Rattus norvegicus: one gene and its partner. The protein of the gene in region 1 interacts with the protein of each later gene in a pairwise test. Links are inferred from orthologs where the notes say so. Each region holds a gene or a part of one and is shown in the gene's direction. Other genes may lie near its edges.

Region 1 (7,433 bases):
AAGAGAATTTAAGTCAGAGACCATTTGACAGCAGCTCTCTCATTGTCTCCACCTACAGCACAGTGAGTAGAAGTGTCCTAAGCCCCTTGCCTGAAGGCTTCCCTATCTTTCTAGAGGAAGAAGCTACAGCAAGACTCTGATATGACATATGACGGAAAGCCAGTACAAAGGTTATTCAGTATTCACACTGCTGGAATGTGAACATTGGATGTTCATGCTAAGCTTACAAGCCTTTCTCAGTTCCAGCCAGTTAGGAAGCCTAATAGCAAGTCATCTCTTTTCATCTACCCCCCAAATAACCTGAAGGTGGTGAGGCTGCCCCTGTGTGTGGTATTCTCCCCTGGAGAGTATGCTCAGAACTGCTCAAGGAAGAGTAAAACAATAACCAGGAGATCATAATCAAGTTTGTCACAGATTTCTTGACTTAGCATTGTAATCTCTCATTTGTTTTGAATATTTTGAATAATCTTTCTTAACAAATAGAAAAGATAGCTCCTCTCATAAAATGTGGGTTGTTTGTAAAGGGTGGTTTGGACTCTAGCTCTGTACTTCCGGGAGTTGACTGGCACATGCTATTTGGGGTTTCTTTATCCACCTACAGTGTTATTGAAAGGGTCAGTTATGATGAGTGAATGTCTATGAAGTACTAAGAAACTGCCCAACCCTTGCCCAACCCTTACTTTACTTATCCCACTGTATTCTATTGCAGCTACACTAACCTTAGGTCAGACAATTAAAAACAATTTAAAACCATTTGCCTAAGGGCACAGGTTTGTCATCCTCCCATTTAGGAGAATGGGTAAGGAGAACAGACAGCTTACAGGCAGACGGGACCACTAGCCTAATTTGCCTCTACGGTTGTGACAATGACCATGGCCAAAAGCAGCCTGGGAAGGACAGGGTTATTTGGTTCCCACATTCTGGTGCCAGTACATCATTAAGGGAAAACAAGGCAAAGGTTCAAGAAGGCCAGAACCCGGAGGCAGAACTAAAGCAGAGATAAAGGGGGGCTGGGGCTTCCTGGCTTGTTCACTAGGCCCTATGCTCAGTTACCTTTCCTATATCTCCCAGCACCATCTGCCTATCCATATGCCACTCCCATACTAATTATCAGTCAAGAAAATGCCCCGTAGACCTGGCTACAGGCTAAGGTAAGGTTCCTGGATGTGTCTAGATTTGTGTGAAGTTGATCAAACCAAACCAAACAACAAACCAAACAACAAATGAAACCAACAAATAACTTACCAGGACAGGTACATAGTGGGGTACAGGACAAACCTAGGTTATACCCCAAACCTTGCCTCAAATAAACAAAACAGGAACACAGTCATAGTTTGTTTTTAATGCAACCTGTTATACAGGTAGTTCCATGGTCCCAGACCGCTGAATTTCAGATGTCAGAAAAGGAGAGAGGATGGAACACTGTACTCCTCTCCTTTTTTGCTCCCAAAGTAATTCGGAGTCAAATAGGAATAAGCATAGCCTTGTCTCTCCCATATAACACACTTTACAGTGGAAGAGGTCTGTGAACATTCCTATTCCCAGAACAAAAAACTCCTAAGTCAAAATACTTAAATGCATCACGGGGCGACATCAGGTAGGTGGACTACAGCAAGCTAGGGAAATTTCTTGTATCTTTTCCAGATGTTATAACATTCTCAGCTTTAGAACTATTGGAAGCTAGTGGTCTTCCACTTTAAGGATACATTCCAACAGTTTTACCTAATAATCGCAAGTCAGAGTCAAAGGTTGGTAATAAGTGCCCATTCAGAGAACTAAAGATAGCTCAAGATAAACTTGATTAAGTGTGTATACCAGGTTTCTATCCTTTCACATTTGAAGTTCTAGGCATTTGGTCAGTCCATAGGATTGCCAGCACAGATAAAATTTCTTCAGAGAACTTCGAGTCACATGTTCTCTGAGCAGGTCTTGGGAGTTCTGGGTGGCTGGATTGGCTCAGGGCTCTAGAATTATCTGAGATAACAACACTGTACTCAGGGTAAAATTGTGTGAGAACTCCTGCATCGCCCAGAAGAGAGTCCAGTTGGAGAATGACTAGCCTGGTTCAGAGTTCCATCTAAACTGATGTCCTGTGGATATAGAACCTTGGACAAGTTGGGGATGGGGGGGGGGTAAATTTGCTTTTCCCATCTTTCTGAGTTCTAGTAATTCATCAAAACAACCCATAATTTTATTTCGAGATAAAGAAACGGAAAAATAAAACAAGGTTAAGAATGCTTCTCAGAAATTAAATCCAGGTTCTGGCAGGTAGAAACTGGTTACTTTGGTCTTTGACCCCTAGGTCTCAGTTTCTTTACCCAAAGTCTGTAGTTTGTAGGCAAGTGTTTAAAGATATTACTGGTTTTGTTTGTTGTCTTATCATCAGTGCAGAGGGTACTCAGCTTGGTGGAATTTCAAATATGAGAGCCTAGTATTTCAGATTCCTTCATATTCCCAACTAGTACTGTGTGTTCATCAGGTTCAAGAGCAGGTATTACCAGTCCCCATCAGGACCTGACCAGTCACTGGGCCACAGAACTGACCATCTGATAAGACTGAATGCAGGCTTTTCCTTGTTTTCTCCCTTTGCTATCCGCCTCCATGCTGTGAGGCAAAGAAAACCTCTTTCCTAAGTGCTGTGTATTCTGTGACTCCACTATGGGATGTGTCACAGGCAGAAAGACCTAGCCTGGGGACCTGCTGCTCTTTGAAGGGAGTGTGCTCGTCTTCCCTACATAAGATTAAAAGAGGCGTCTCTCTGTAAGGTGCCAGAACTTTCTGGAGACTACTACTGAGGGATTAGCATTGACTAACCCTGTTTAGACTCTGAAATAGCGCAGAAAGCTGGATCACACGCTGCAATGGCCTAGGTTTCTGAAGCCATCCCTACCCATTTAGCTGGGCCGCAGGCGCTGGGCCGTGGGCCTACAAGCCCCAGCATGCCTCGGGAGGCGGGGCAAGTTGACAGACAGGCGATTCTACAAATTGGCTATTGCCGTGGGATGTACGCGCTAGCGCATGCGCAGGAGGCAGCGGGCGGGTGGGCTGGCAGCGGTGGACTCGCGTCGGAGCCGCGGGCGGTCAGGTAGGGGGCGGGAAGGAGGGTCTGCGATCAGGGACTGTGGTGGGTCGCGGGGCTCCAAGATTGAATGGCAGAATTTGGGGACTGGATCTGAGTGGCAGGACCGGGTTGGGGAGGGACGGGCTCAGGAGCGATTCGGCGGGGCTGAGATGCAGCTGGGGGAGGGGAGCAAAGGGGCTGAGGAAATTTGCAGTTGCAGCATGTCGGGAGAGAGGTATGAGGTAATGTGGGGGCCATGCGGAGAGACGGGGTGCAGCATGTGTAAGATGCGAGGACCTGAAGTGCCTGGAGGTATCTGGGTGCATACTATCAGAAGCAGAAAGGAATTTGGCAGGCCTGGATGAGATTGGGTGTTGGCGGGCAGAATCTTAAGGGCTTTGAGGAGATCGGTGTAATGGTAGCAAGATCCGAGATCAAAACAGCCAGAGTCTTGGAAGATCCTAAATGCTGAAGAGAAAGGGATTTCTGTAGCGGAATCTGGGAAAGATTGAGGGGTGAGTTCCCAAGGGAATCAGTACCCAGTTAGCAAATCGCAGCAAAGGTTTGAAGGCAACACGTGAGGCAGGACGGGGGCGGGGGTGGGGAGGTTGGAGGTGGCACAGTACAAGATGGGGAATGCAGATGAGGGAAAAGGTTGAAGGAGGCAGAGTCTAAGGTACAGGATTGGAGTTTGGAGCTGCCATACGTGGGTGATAGGAGTGGAAGTTTGAAAATAGATGAAAGGATGTAGGGAGTTTGAAAATAGATGAAAGGATGTACCAGAGGGATGTGGGACACATAAGAGCTATTGGTGAGTTGCAGGGTTGCAACATACACAGTCTAAGAGGTTGAATTCTAGATTTGGGATTTATTGTTGAGAATGGGGTTTGTAAAGGATTGAATGGTGGGGAGTGAATGTTGTAACTAGATTGTACAATTCAAAACCAGGTGAAATTTCTGAGACCACTAAAGGAGGTGTTTGTTTGTTTGTTTGTTTTGTTTCTTGATTTCTGCATAATTGAACCCAGAGGGTGTTCTGAAGACCCAGGGACCTGAAAGTAATTTATAAATAAACTATGCATGAATGAATGGAATTTAGGAGAATGTAGGGGTTTGGAAATAAAGACACTGGTCTTCAGAAATCCTGAAGGAGAGTTTGACATTCTCTGAAGGGCAGAGTCTTCCTCACTTGCTAACTAAAGGCCCTTTAATCCTGAGGCAGACAGGTATTCTCACTAAATCCACTCTGACCACCCCAACTTCCCCACCACAGACTCAACATTATAGGCCTTGGGGAAGAACAATAAACTACCTAGGGGCTTTGCTACTTATCCCTTTCTCTGTACCCCTAAGCCCTCAAAGGTATAAGCCAAAATTATCTTAGATCTGACATCATTTTATAGAAGGTCTATTATAGCACAAAGAGGCAGTGATTCTATGAATGAAGTATTAGAATTGGGCGAGAAACAAAACAGGGTTGGAGCAAGGGAGAGCCTCACATGTACTGAGTATTTAGACTGTATCATTACCTAAAACCATAGTTCTCAGATAGGGTGGTTTTGTTCTGCCAGGAAACATTTGACCATGTCTGGATGGAGGCATTGTCAGTTGTCATAATTGAGGGGTTGTGGGGGTCTACTGATTTCTAGTGAACAACCCCCACAATAAACTGTCACCTAGCCAGAAATGCCAATCATGCCACAAATGAGGGACCTAGCAAGAGAGTCAAGAATTCTGGGTCCAAATCCTGGCTTTTTCTCTTCCTGCTTTGAAATCTTAAGACTTATTTGACCTCTCAATGCACAAGTTTGACCTCTCAATGCACAAGCTCTTCAGAGACCTGCATCCTAGGATTGCTGTACGGACTCAGTGAAATAAATCGGGGTACTTACTGTCTAGTGCCTAGTAAGTGTTAAGAATTTACTACTCTCAAAGATCTATGTGTACTTTCTTCTCATGGCAGTCCTTCTAAATATACTTTCTATGTCCAGTGTGACACATGAAACTAAGGCTTAGGAGATCACTTGTGTAAAGCCACATCACCAAAACTGGCAGAAGTAAACTGCCGTGTAAATTGCCACCACAGAATCTCCCCTCTTGCTTCTTTGCTGCAGTCGTCTTGGTCCTCCCTTTTCAGACTTTCCTAATGAAAAGGAGGCTTGCCCCATATTCAAAAGTGGGGTGACTTTTCTTGATCAGCAGAAGCCCTGGACTTTGTTCTTGCTTTGCTCTTAGACCAGAACCAGTGGGGAGATAGTGCAAGGAGTTTGGAGCTACGAAGCTGAGATAAGAAGACTCTGGCCCAAGGACAGTGCTAGACTGAAGGAGACTGCTCTGAATACCCTCCTTTGTGTATTTTGGTCTCAGGAACAGAAAGGTAGCATTGTCTTTATCAACTCCAAACCTAGCTACATTACAGGAGGCAATTTCCTAGTTAAAATCAGACTGGAGCTGAGGGCAGAACACTTGACTGTGATATCCACACAGATCACTTCTGGAAACACATGATGGAGCAGGTTCAGTTAGCCTTGGAATCAGGTGTTTTACTGCTTGTTTGGTGGTCAAGCACTAGTCAGCCTCTGTCTATAAACAGAGTGAACTCCACTGAGTGCTGACTAGTGTACATTCTCTCCATAAAGCTCACAATGTAAATGTTGCTCTTGATTCCATAAGGTGGGAAGTTAATAGGTAAGTTGCATGACATATCCTGGGCTTCAGAGCCTATGGCTAAGTGGGCATGTGAATCAGAAGTCACAAGTTGGCAAGCCTCCTAAAGTATGCCCCTCCGTATGCAGATGGTGTTACATTTTGAAGACTTCTTCCATTGTGCCTTTCTGATAGGACAGTATGGTTTAAAAGTCATTCCTGGATGAATTTACCCACCTGTTAGCCATATCTTGCCTGCAGGTAACAGTAGTCATATCCTCTATGAAAGTACATGTTTCAAGTGGGCCCTGTTGTGGCATAGTTCACATGTGGGCATCTGAGGGATGACGCTACTACAGTCCATGGTGGTAGAACCTGGACAGGTTACTTTTTTCTGAGTGTTAATTAGGATGTGGACTAACACTTCCTTCACAGAGTTAAGAGAACACATGTGATGTGTAGAAGGTGCCTGGCACTCACTACCCCAGGTGGCAGTTAGAAGATATGGTTTTAGCTATTAGCAGGCATCATAAGTGCCCCCAATCTAAAGTTCACAGACTTGTCTCCCTGGCCAGAGCTAAGGGAATGGTGAGTTTTGTTAGTGAGTGGCCTTTGTGGCACTGAGACCGGTTCACACTTGGTTCAAACTGGGTTAAAGTGCATAAGAAATAAAGCTTGAGTGCTGGCCCAAAAGGGAGTGATTAGTCTCTAAACAAAATAAAAGCACCCACAAACCACATGAGCATATTAATTGTAGAATGTTCCTTCATATCAAATTTTTAGATTTTTTTTTTTTTATATCTCTTTCTAAAAGTTGTCTCCATCCCCATCTTGTCGGGGCTAAACTAGTGGTAAATGCTTAATAAAGACCAGCTTCTTTAATTGTTTAAGGTTCTCCAGGTTTGCTTATGGCCCAATCGCCCAAGGAACAAGATGGGCATAGGAAATAAAGGTGTCTAAAGAATTCCGTTAGATTGAAATCAAGTACTCAAACTTTGGCTCTGCTTGAGATCAAATAGCAATCTCCCAGGAGGCCCTGAGTTTAGATTATTTAACTGGATGTCTAGCGCCTTAGATATCTGCCTTACGACAGGTGCCTGTTCATTTCATATCACAGGCTGGCTGGTGGCTATGGCAAGCAGTAGCAATTGCAGCCACTGCTGCTAATAATAATAAAGGCTCATCTACACAGTTAATTCTGTGCCTAACTTGGTGCTGTCCAAAGTGCTTTAGCTTAGTGTCTTCTCCTCGCCTGTGAGAAGGGATCACCTTAAAAGGCCATTTCATATATAAGCTGAGATGTTAAGTAACCTTTCAGATCTTCACTGTAAGTGGTAGAGCTGGGATCTAAAGCCAGAGTGCTCTGGTCCTGAATGTACTTAATGCTTGTAGCACCATTAGTTTCTAGCCTGTTCCCCTTTGCTGGAGTTCTGCCCTGTGATGTGTGAGTAGCTAGTCTTCCCCTCTTGGTCTCAGTTTCCTCATTTGTAGTACTCTGGGTCACAGCTCACTCTAGCTCTGTGTATTTAGTCTCTGCTAGAAGGGGCCTCAGTAGTTGCTATGTTAATTAAAGTGGTGATTTCATTTACTCCTTGCTTCCTAGCCTAGGTGACCACCTTCTCAACTGAATCCCTCCCAAGTTAACTTGGCCTTTGAGTGATCTTTATGTGCCTTTGCAGCCCATGAAAGGATAATTCTCCATTCCTTTCAAAACTTAGATTACAAA
Region 2 (7,433 bases), on another chromosome or scaffold:
AGCATTGCCCTTTCATGAGTTGAGCCAGAGACCCAGTCGGAAAGGAAGGGTGAAGTGGGGAGAGAAGCCCCATTAAGTGAACTTGGAAGAAGGAGGAAGGTGTTGAAGGGAACAAAGGAGACGCGTGGCAGAAACTAATGCAGGATCCAGACCATCTTGTAAACCCAATAACTTAAGCCCTGTAGCAGGGCCTCTGTGCAGCAGAGGGTGCACACTACAGGTTGTGCACACGCGTGTGCGTGCATGCATGCAAGGGTGCACATGCACAGGGTGGAGGTCAGAGGTCAACGTCAGGTGTCTTCGTCTGTCACCCACAGTCTTGTTTTTCAGACAGGACTTCTCACTGAATCTGAATCCTGCCCATTTGATGGGCTCATCAGTCAGTTTCCAGGTTTCCCTGGTCCCCACCTCCCCAGGGCTGGAATTCAAGGCATATCTAGCTTTTTTGCATGAATGTTTGAGAGCCAAATTCAGTTCCTCATACTTGCCCAATAGGCATAGTATATCCACTGAGCCATGTCCCCAACTCATTATGTTCACCTCATTCATTCATTCATCCATCCATCCATCCATCCATCCATTCATTCATTCAGGTTTGGTTTGGTTTGGTTTTAGTGTTTTGGGTTTTTTTTCAAGACAGGGTTTCTCTGTGTAGCCCTGGCTGCCCTGAAACTAACTTTCTTACTTACTTTCTTTCTTTCTTCCTTCCTTCCTTTCTTTCTTTAAGTTGGTTTGGGTTTTTTGGGGGGGGGAGGGTTTGGGTTTTTTTGTTTGTTTGTATTTTATTCAAGGAAAGGCTCCTCTGGGTTGCCCTGGCTGCCCTGGAAGGAATTCTATAGCCAGGCTGACCATGAACTCAGAAATCTACCTGCCTCTCCCTCTGCCTCCCAAGTGCTAGGATTAAAGGTGTGTGACACACACACAACTGGCTCTACATTTGACACTCACAGTATTCTGCACACAGCCACAGGGCTGTATCGCTAAGAGGCCATGTCACAGGTCCAGGAAGGCTTCACTGTTTAATAACTGGTTTGGAATTTGGAAGTGGGAAAGTATGTAGAGACAATCTCACTCTAGGACTCAAAGACAGAGATAAAATGCTCTTTAGAAACCTATTCTGTGGGGGAACAGAATCAGAACTCTATGTCAGCCTCTGTGCTAGCTGGGGTCAGGCCAGAGACACAGAAATGAGCTAAGCCTACAGTGAGAACTGATACGCAGGACAGTTGAGAACAATGGGAAAGTGCATCTGAAGGGCCCAAGGCCACTAGGAAAAAGGCAACCCAAAATGCCCACAACTTTAAATCCCCTTCCTGATGTGTCATTAGATGCAAACGGCCCTGGGGAGGATGTGACGTTAAACAAGGCAGTGTTCTGTACAGGGGCAGATCCTGCAGTTACTGGAAGCTGAAGGCTCCAGGCTGACCACACTAGGTAGGAAGTTCATGAAATGAGCTCTCGAAGCGCCTCTTCAGGTCTTCCCCGATGTCCAGCCCCACCAGCACCGTAGCAGGTACTGGGCATCTATTGATTGGGTGGGTAGGTGAACATTTGAGACAACCTGGAAGTTTAAATGGGATTTGTGGAAATAGAGAGGGTGTTGGTTCCAGCCAAGCCAGGTTCCATGCTAAGACATAAAAGCACTGGAGAAGTAAAAGAGTTAACGCTGAACATGGCCGTGGGAAGCAAGGAGACCAAGGTAAAGCCTGGGAATGGCTAACACTTGAGAACTGTCAACATCATGAAAGGATAAGAAAGAATGGCCAAGGAAAGAAAACAGGAAAGAGCTGAGTGTGGGAGAGGCCTGGAGAGAATGGGGCAAGAAGTGGGAGGCTAAAGGGTAAGGGCAAGGGAGGGTCAAGTCAGATGAGGACTGAAGGTGCTTTCAACTGGTAGGACTTGAGGGCTGCTCTGGGTAGGAGCCAGCCCGGTCTGGGCCCTGGGTCTCTCATGTGTTCTATGGAGAAGTCTTTATATTTGTTCATGTGTATTGTATGTGGGCTCTAACCTGGCCAACAATGCCCAAGAATCAAGTGATTTTTGTGGCTTGAAGTCTAGCCACTTTCCTTGGAGGGAGGCAATAGAAGGAGCCTAGTGACATCTCGGACGGAGTCTGGGGTCTTTGTCCTTCCCCTTGATTCCTGAAGGGTCTCCAGCCTCTGGTTCTCCAGGGTTGGCAAGTCTACAATTGCTTCCCGGAACCTGGAGTGCTCAGTGCTTGACTTTAAAGAGGACACAGGTGCCTACAGTTCCACGACCTCTGGGTTCCCCGACGCCCCCCCCCCGCACTGCCCATTGCCCAAACACCCCACAAGTGGCCTATTGTGTGAGCTCAGTTTCAATGGGAAAAGAAACTGGGTTTATGAAAAGAGATTATTTGCTTATTGCATGGAGATGACTAAGTAAATAGTGCAATTTCTTGAGTGGAGCACAATCCCTGCCCCTACCTCTTGTGGGCTGCCAGGAACATATAAAAAGCCACACGCATACCCACACATACCCACACATACCCTCACATTACAACATCAGCCCACATCTACAGACAGCCCAAGCCTCCGGCCTCTACCATGAAGATCGCCATCACAATCACTGTGCTCATGCTGTCCATCTGCTGCAGCTCAGGTGAGTGCCCAGGGTGGCTTTCCCAAGATCAGAAGGATGTGGCTGCCTGGAAGGCCTGGATATGCCGACGCCTCTCAGAAACATTGAGTCCGATAACCAACGCTATTTTGTGATCTTGAGGAAAGCTTTGAACCTAGTCCACTGCGGGGACTAGGGGACTTGTGGGGAAGCTGGAGAGAGCCCATCTAGACCAGCACATCTGTCCAAAAACAGACTAGGAATAAGGAGCCCTTTGAAGCCTGGACTAGGACTGGCTTAAGGCGCTAAGAGATTTTGATGCAGCCACCAGGTTGGGGTTCGGGGGAAGGGGCTGGGAATGGGGGTCCCACCCAATGCTGGCGTTTGGTCTGGCAAGGGAAGTACACAGACTCATGTCCTCAAACCCAAGGCAAGGTCGCTTGTTCTGGGAGGAGAGGAATATTCCAGAAAAAGATCTTCCATTTGGAAAACTGCCAGCTCAGGGCGTAGTTTCCTAAACATTCTGTCCTCTGGAGAAAGGACCGGAGGTCTCTGAATACTTGTTGCTTTCACTATGCAGAAAGGAATGGGAAATGAGAGCAAGAGGGAGGAGGACGGAAGGTATCATTTTGAATTAAAATATTTACTCATTAGATATCAGTACTCTGCACAGAGGAGGGTGGCTCAGCAAGACAGTGCTAAAACATGTGAAGGGGTGGACTGGTAAGATATTTGCATAGCAACGTACTCACGTTTTAAAAACTCTGATTGTAAAACTCGTTAGTGCCACTTACAACGTGGCAGTCGCTGACCTCAGCCATTTTACGTACTATCCCTTTCATTTTCGTAACAACCCAGTGAGGTAGAGATGTTGTGCCCATTTTGCAGATTAGAAAACTGAGCCACTGGGAAATGAAACACCCTGCCTGGTGATGATATTATAGAGAGGGTTCAAGTTGGAGTGACCATCTTTTGGTTTGGAGGCAGGGTCTCATTCTGGTCTGAGTTCACAACCATCCTGCCTCAGCCTCCCTGATACTGTGAGTTATGCCCAGCTAGCATGGCCATTAGCTGGAGTGGCCATTTGGAGTAGGGTCCTGAGACAGAGCAGTGAAGTCAAATTTACAAACAATGCAGAGAATTCCAGTGCAGGAAATTTGAGACTAGGTTAGAAGTGGACGCAAACCCTAGGAAATCAAGCAGACAGCACCATCCAAACAGCACTGCAGTTGCAGGGAACATGGAGAGGTGAGAGTCTCACCTGCAAATGACTGTGCCATCAGATAAGAGCCCTTTTGTGCCTTCATCTTCCAGGCCAGGTTTGGGGACCATGCTGGACTGGGGTAAGGGCTGTATCACATGTTCTCAGTAACAAGACACAGACTGCCACTAGCCAAGGGTGAGAGACATTCTGATAGAAAGCAGGACTCCCAGAGGCCTCCGGCAGCTTTGGTAACACACTCTGTCTAGAATGATGGCAGAAACAATGGCCAACCCAAGCCAGGAATCCAAAGGCAGCTCAGGAAAGCCACAAAAGCTGGCTGTAACCTAGAAAGTCCTTGCATAGTGCCAGATTTTCAGCTGCTTGGAGCCTCCCAGAGCTTACACTGTACCACCCAAAGGCTGCTCTCTCTTGCTAGACTGGCTGGTCCAGCAGAGTGCCGGCTGGCGGCTCTTAGAGAAGGGGCTCCATTCATGTGCTTCCTTTTGCCTGCACTCCAGCCTCTTCGGACATCTGCCCAGGATTTCTTCAAGTCCTTGAGGCCCTCCTCCTAGGCTCAGAGTCTAATTATGAGGCAGCCCTGAAGCCTTTCAACCCTGCCTCAGACCTGCAAAATGCAGGAACCCAGCTGAAGAGGCTGGTGGATACCCTCCCACAGGAGACCAGAATAAACATCGTGAAGCTCACGGTACGCAACATCTGTCCCTCATGCTGATTCTAAGTGGTTCTCCAACCACAGTGTCACACCATTTTGGGGGTTACAAAGGCTAATGACTGTCTTAGCCATGCACCCTTCCTTTTCATGTGTGTGTGTGTGTGTGTGTGAGTGTGTGTGTGTGTGTGAGTGTGTGTGTCTGTATGAGTATGTGTGTGAATGTGTGTGTGTGAGTGTGTATGTATGTATGTATGTATGTGTGTGAGTGTGTGTAAGAGTGTGTGTGTGAGAGAGAGAGAGAGAATGTGTGAGTGTGTGTGGGTGTCTGTGTATGAGTATGTGTGTGAATGTGTGTGTGTGAATGTGTGTGTGAGTGTGTATGTATGTATGTATGTGTGTGAGTGTGTGTAAGAGTGTGTGTGTGTGAGAGAGAGTATGTGTGAGTGAGTGTGTGAGTGTGTGTGAGTGGGTGTGTGTGTGAGTGGGTGTGTGAGTATGTGTGTGTGTGGGTGTGAGTGTATGTGTGTGAGTGTGTGTGTGAATGTGTGTGTGAGAGTGTGTGTGGGTGTCTGTGTATGAGTATGTGTGTGAGTATGTGTGTGTGAGAGAGAGTGTGTGTGTGTGTGAGTGTATGTGTGTGAGTGTGTGTAAGAGTGTGTGTAAGAGTGTGTGTGTGAGAGAGTGTGTGAGTGTGTGTGAGAGAGAGTGTGTGTGTGAGAGTGTGTAAGAGTGTGTGTGTGTGAGAGTGTGTGTGTGAGAGAGTGTGTGTGTGAGTGTATGTGTGTGAGTGTATGTGTGTGAGTGTGTGTAAGAGTGTGTGTGTGTGAGAGAGAGTGTGTGTGTGTGAGAGAGAGAGTGTGTGTGTGAGAGTGTGTAAGAGTGTGTGTGTGAGAGAGAGAGAGAGAGAGTGTGTGTGTGTGTGTGTGTGTGTGAGAGAGAGAGAGAGAGAGAGAGAGAGAGAGAGAGAGAGAGTGTGTGAGTGTGTGTGTGCTTGCCTCACTGTCCCCAAACCCCTGGGGTCAAGTGTTATTCCCACCTCAGCCTCCTGAGTGGCTAGAACTATAAGCTTGGACCTGCACATCCAGCTGCACTGACTTTTTTCCATAAGAATTTTGACATTTTATTTACTTAGTGGGAGTGTGTATGTGTATGTCGCAGATGCGGCGGTCAGAGGACAGTCTTTAAGGAGTTGGATCCTTCCTCCCACCACGTGGGTCCTGTGGATCAAACGCAGAGTCAAGTGTGATGGCAGAAGCATTTGCAGCTATGACTTTTTACCTGCCTTTTTTATTGATGTCTTTGAGAAAACCATCCATGGCTTCCTAACCCTCAATTCCTCTCAAATCTTACTGTGGCTTTTGTCGGTTAAGTCTCTGCACCACTACTCTGTCTACTCCAAGGTTCACTAACTATTTGGGGGGCGGGGTTCTTTATTCTAGGAGAAGATCCTAACAAGTCCTCTGTGTGAGCAAGATTTAAGAGTCTGAAGCTCACTGGATTTCAGAGATATTCTACGCTAAAGGCCCCTGTCATTGCCCTCTGCCTCCTTGACCTCCCTACACCAACCCCGCCTTCCTCTTTGCAATAAACTTCGAGCATCTCACTTGCCTGTGTGCACTAGTCCTTCTCTGTACCTGCTGAGCCAGAAAGGCTGGTCCTGGAATGAATGAAGTGAACCAGAACTAAGGGAAGACACCTGAGTCCTGCCCTGGGGCCACACAAGAAATCCCAGAAGGCTCCTCTCCTCTACACTTCTGTTGTCTAGCATCTATCCCTATAGAAGGCTACCACTGAAATGCTCTCTAGTGAGGTCCCACCATCTGTTCCACAGTTCCACCCAGCCTGTCTAGCAGACCTGCAATACCATCCCTCCCTCCCCGTGTCTGGTCCTAAATGTTACTGGATTCTAACTCCATCCTCTGGGCTACACTATTCCGGTCAGGAGCCTGATAGGCATCCCTTAGCCCTTCCTTGTCCAATCACCTGAGGAGATCTCGGAAGTCATTCACTCCCTCCATATCCACTGACCACACCATCATCCCCGGCTGTTAGGTTGTCAGCTGACTTACTGCTAAGTAATTCAATGACCATGCATCCATCACGGGGAGTTTGACCGCATGTAAAATCTTAGCAGTGCTCCTACCTTCCAACCTTTAAAGCACAAAGTATGCTAACCATAAACGTTCAAGTTCAGCACAAGGCCATGCCAGCCCTTGTCTCCCTGTTCTCAATCCGTACACCCCTTCTCTCTGACCCTTAGTTCCTAAAAGCCTAGCTCCACCTCAGGACCTCTGTACAGGTCATACACAATATCGGCTGCCCAAAAAGATGTGGTTGATTGATTTAGAATTTGTCCTAATATCTGCAAGCCTCCATTGGAGCCGGGCTACACCATGCGAAGAAGTTGAATAAAGAGTAGGGATAGGAGGCGTGTGCAGAAGAGCTGTATGCAGAAATAGAAAGGGCTGAGGCAGAGGGCACGGGAATAAGGAGGCTATGGAAGAGAATGCCAGTCAGGCAGCTGGATTAGCGCCTAGAAGCTTCTACCAGGGCCGCTACGGGGCACACCTGCTCCTGCGTTACGGCCACGAGGGGGCAGTGTAGTCCATGCTACCGCCACCCCCTGCGTGTTTGGGGACTCAGACCCCGCACCAACTCTTTGACTTTTGGGCGGAGAGGATCACCAATCATTCTCTAGCCTCGATTTTGAATCGTTTAATCTGTTTTCTAAAATTTTGTTTGGGCCGAGTTTTTTAGGTTGTTTTTTTTGTTTGTTTGTTTTTTTGTTTTTTTTTTGTTTTGTTTTGTTTTTTTAATCAAAATTCCGAGGGAAAACACGGGAAAGGCACAGGAACAGTGTGGCACGGCTGAAGCCTTCCAGTGACCGGTCGGTCCTTTTGGAATTAGGAGTAATTCCACTCCCACAGGACCCCAAAGGCCATCCTGACATATCTAGGCTCTGAGATGGCCCTGAAG

What was found.
Region 2: the proteins of Trim32 (region 1) and Scgb1a1 interact in binary tests that used the Homo sapiens proteins (3 or more experiments, as listed by UniProt). The two-hybrid records come from large-scale screens. The link is inferred for Rattus norvegicus from reciprocal best matches to the Homo sapiens genes TRIM32 and SCGB1A1.

Annotation. Positions count from the first base shown.
Region 1 is NC_086023.1:84,017,604-84,025,036, forward strand, and holds the start of Trim32 (E3 ubiquitin-protein ligase TRIM32), read left to right. Parts: upstream 1-3,028; 5' UTR 3,029-3,085; intron 3,086-7,433. UniProt on the Homo sapiens protein: E3 ubiquitin ligase that plays a role in various biological processes including neural stem cell differentiation, innate immunity, inflammatory resonse and autophagy.
Region 2 is NC_086019.1:215,404,764-215,412,196, reverse strand, and holds Scgb1a1 (uteroglobin precursor), read left to right. Parts: upstream 1-2,510; 5' UTR 2,511-2,567; coding exon 2,568-2,622; intron 2,623-4,302; coding exon 4,303-4,490; intron 4,491-5,896; coding exon 5,897-5,944; 3' UTR 5,945-6,059; downstream 6,060-7,433. UniProt on the Homo sapiens protein: Binds phosphatidylcholine, phosphatidylinositol, polychlorinated biphenyls (PCB) and weakly progesterone, potent inhibitor of phospholipase A2.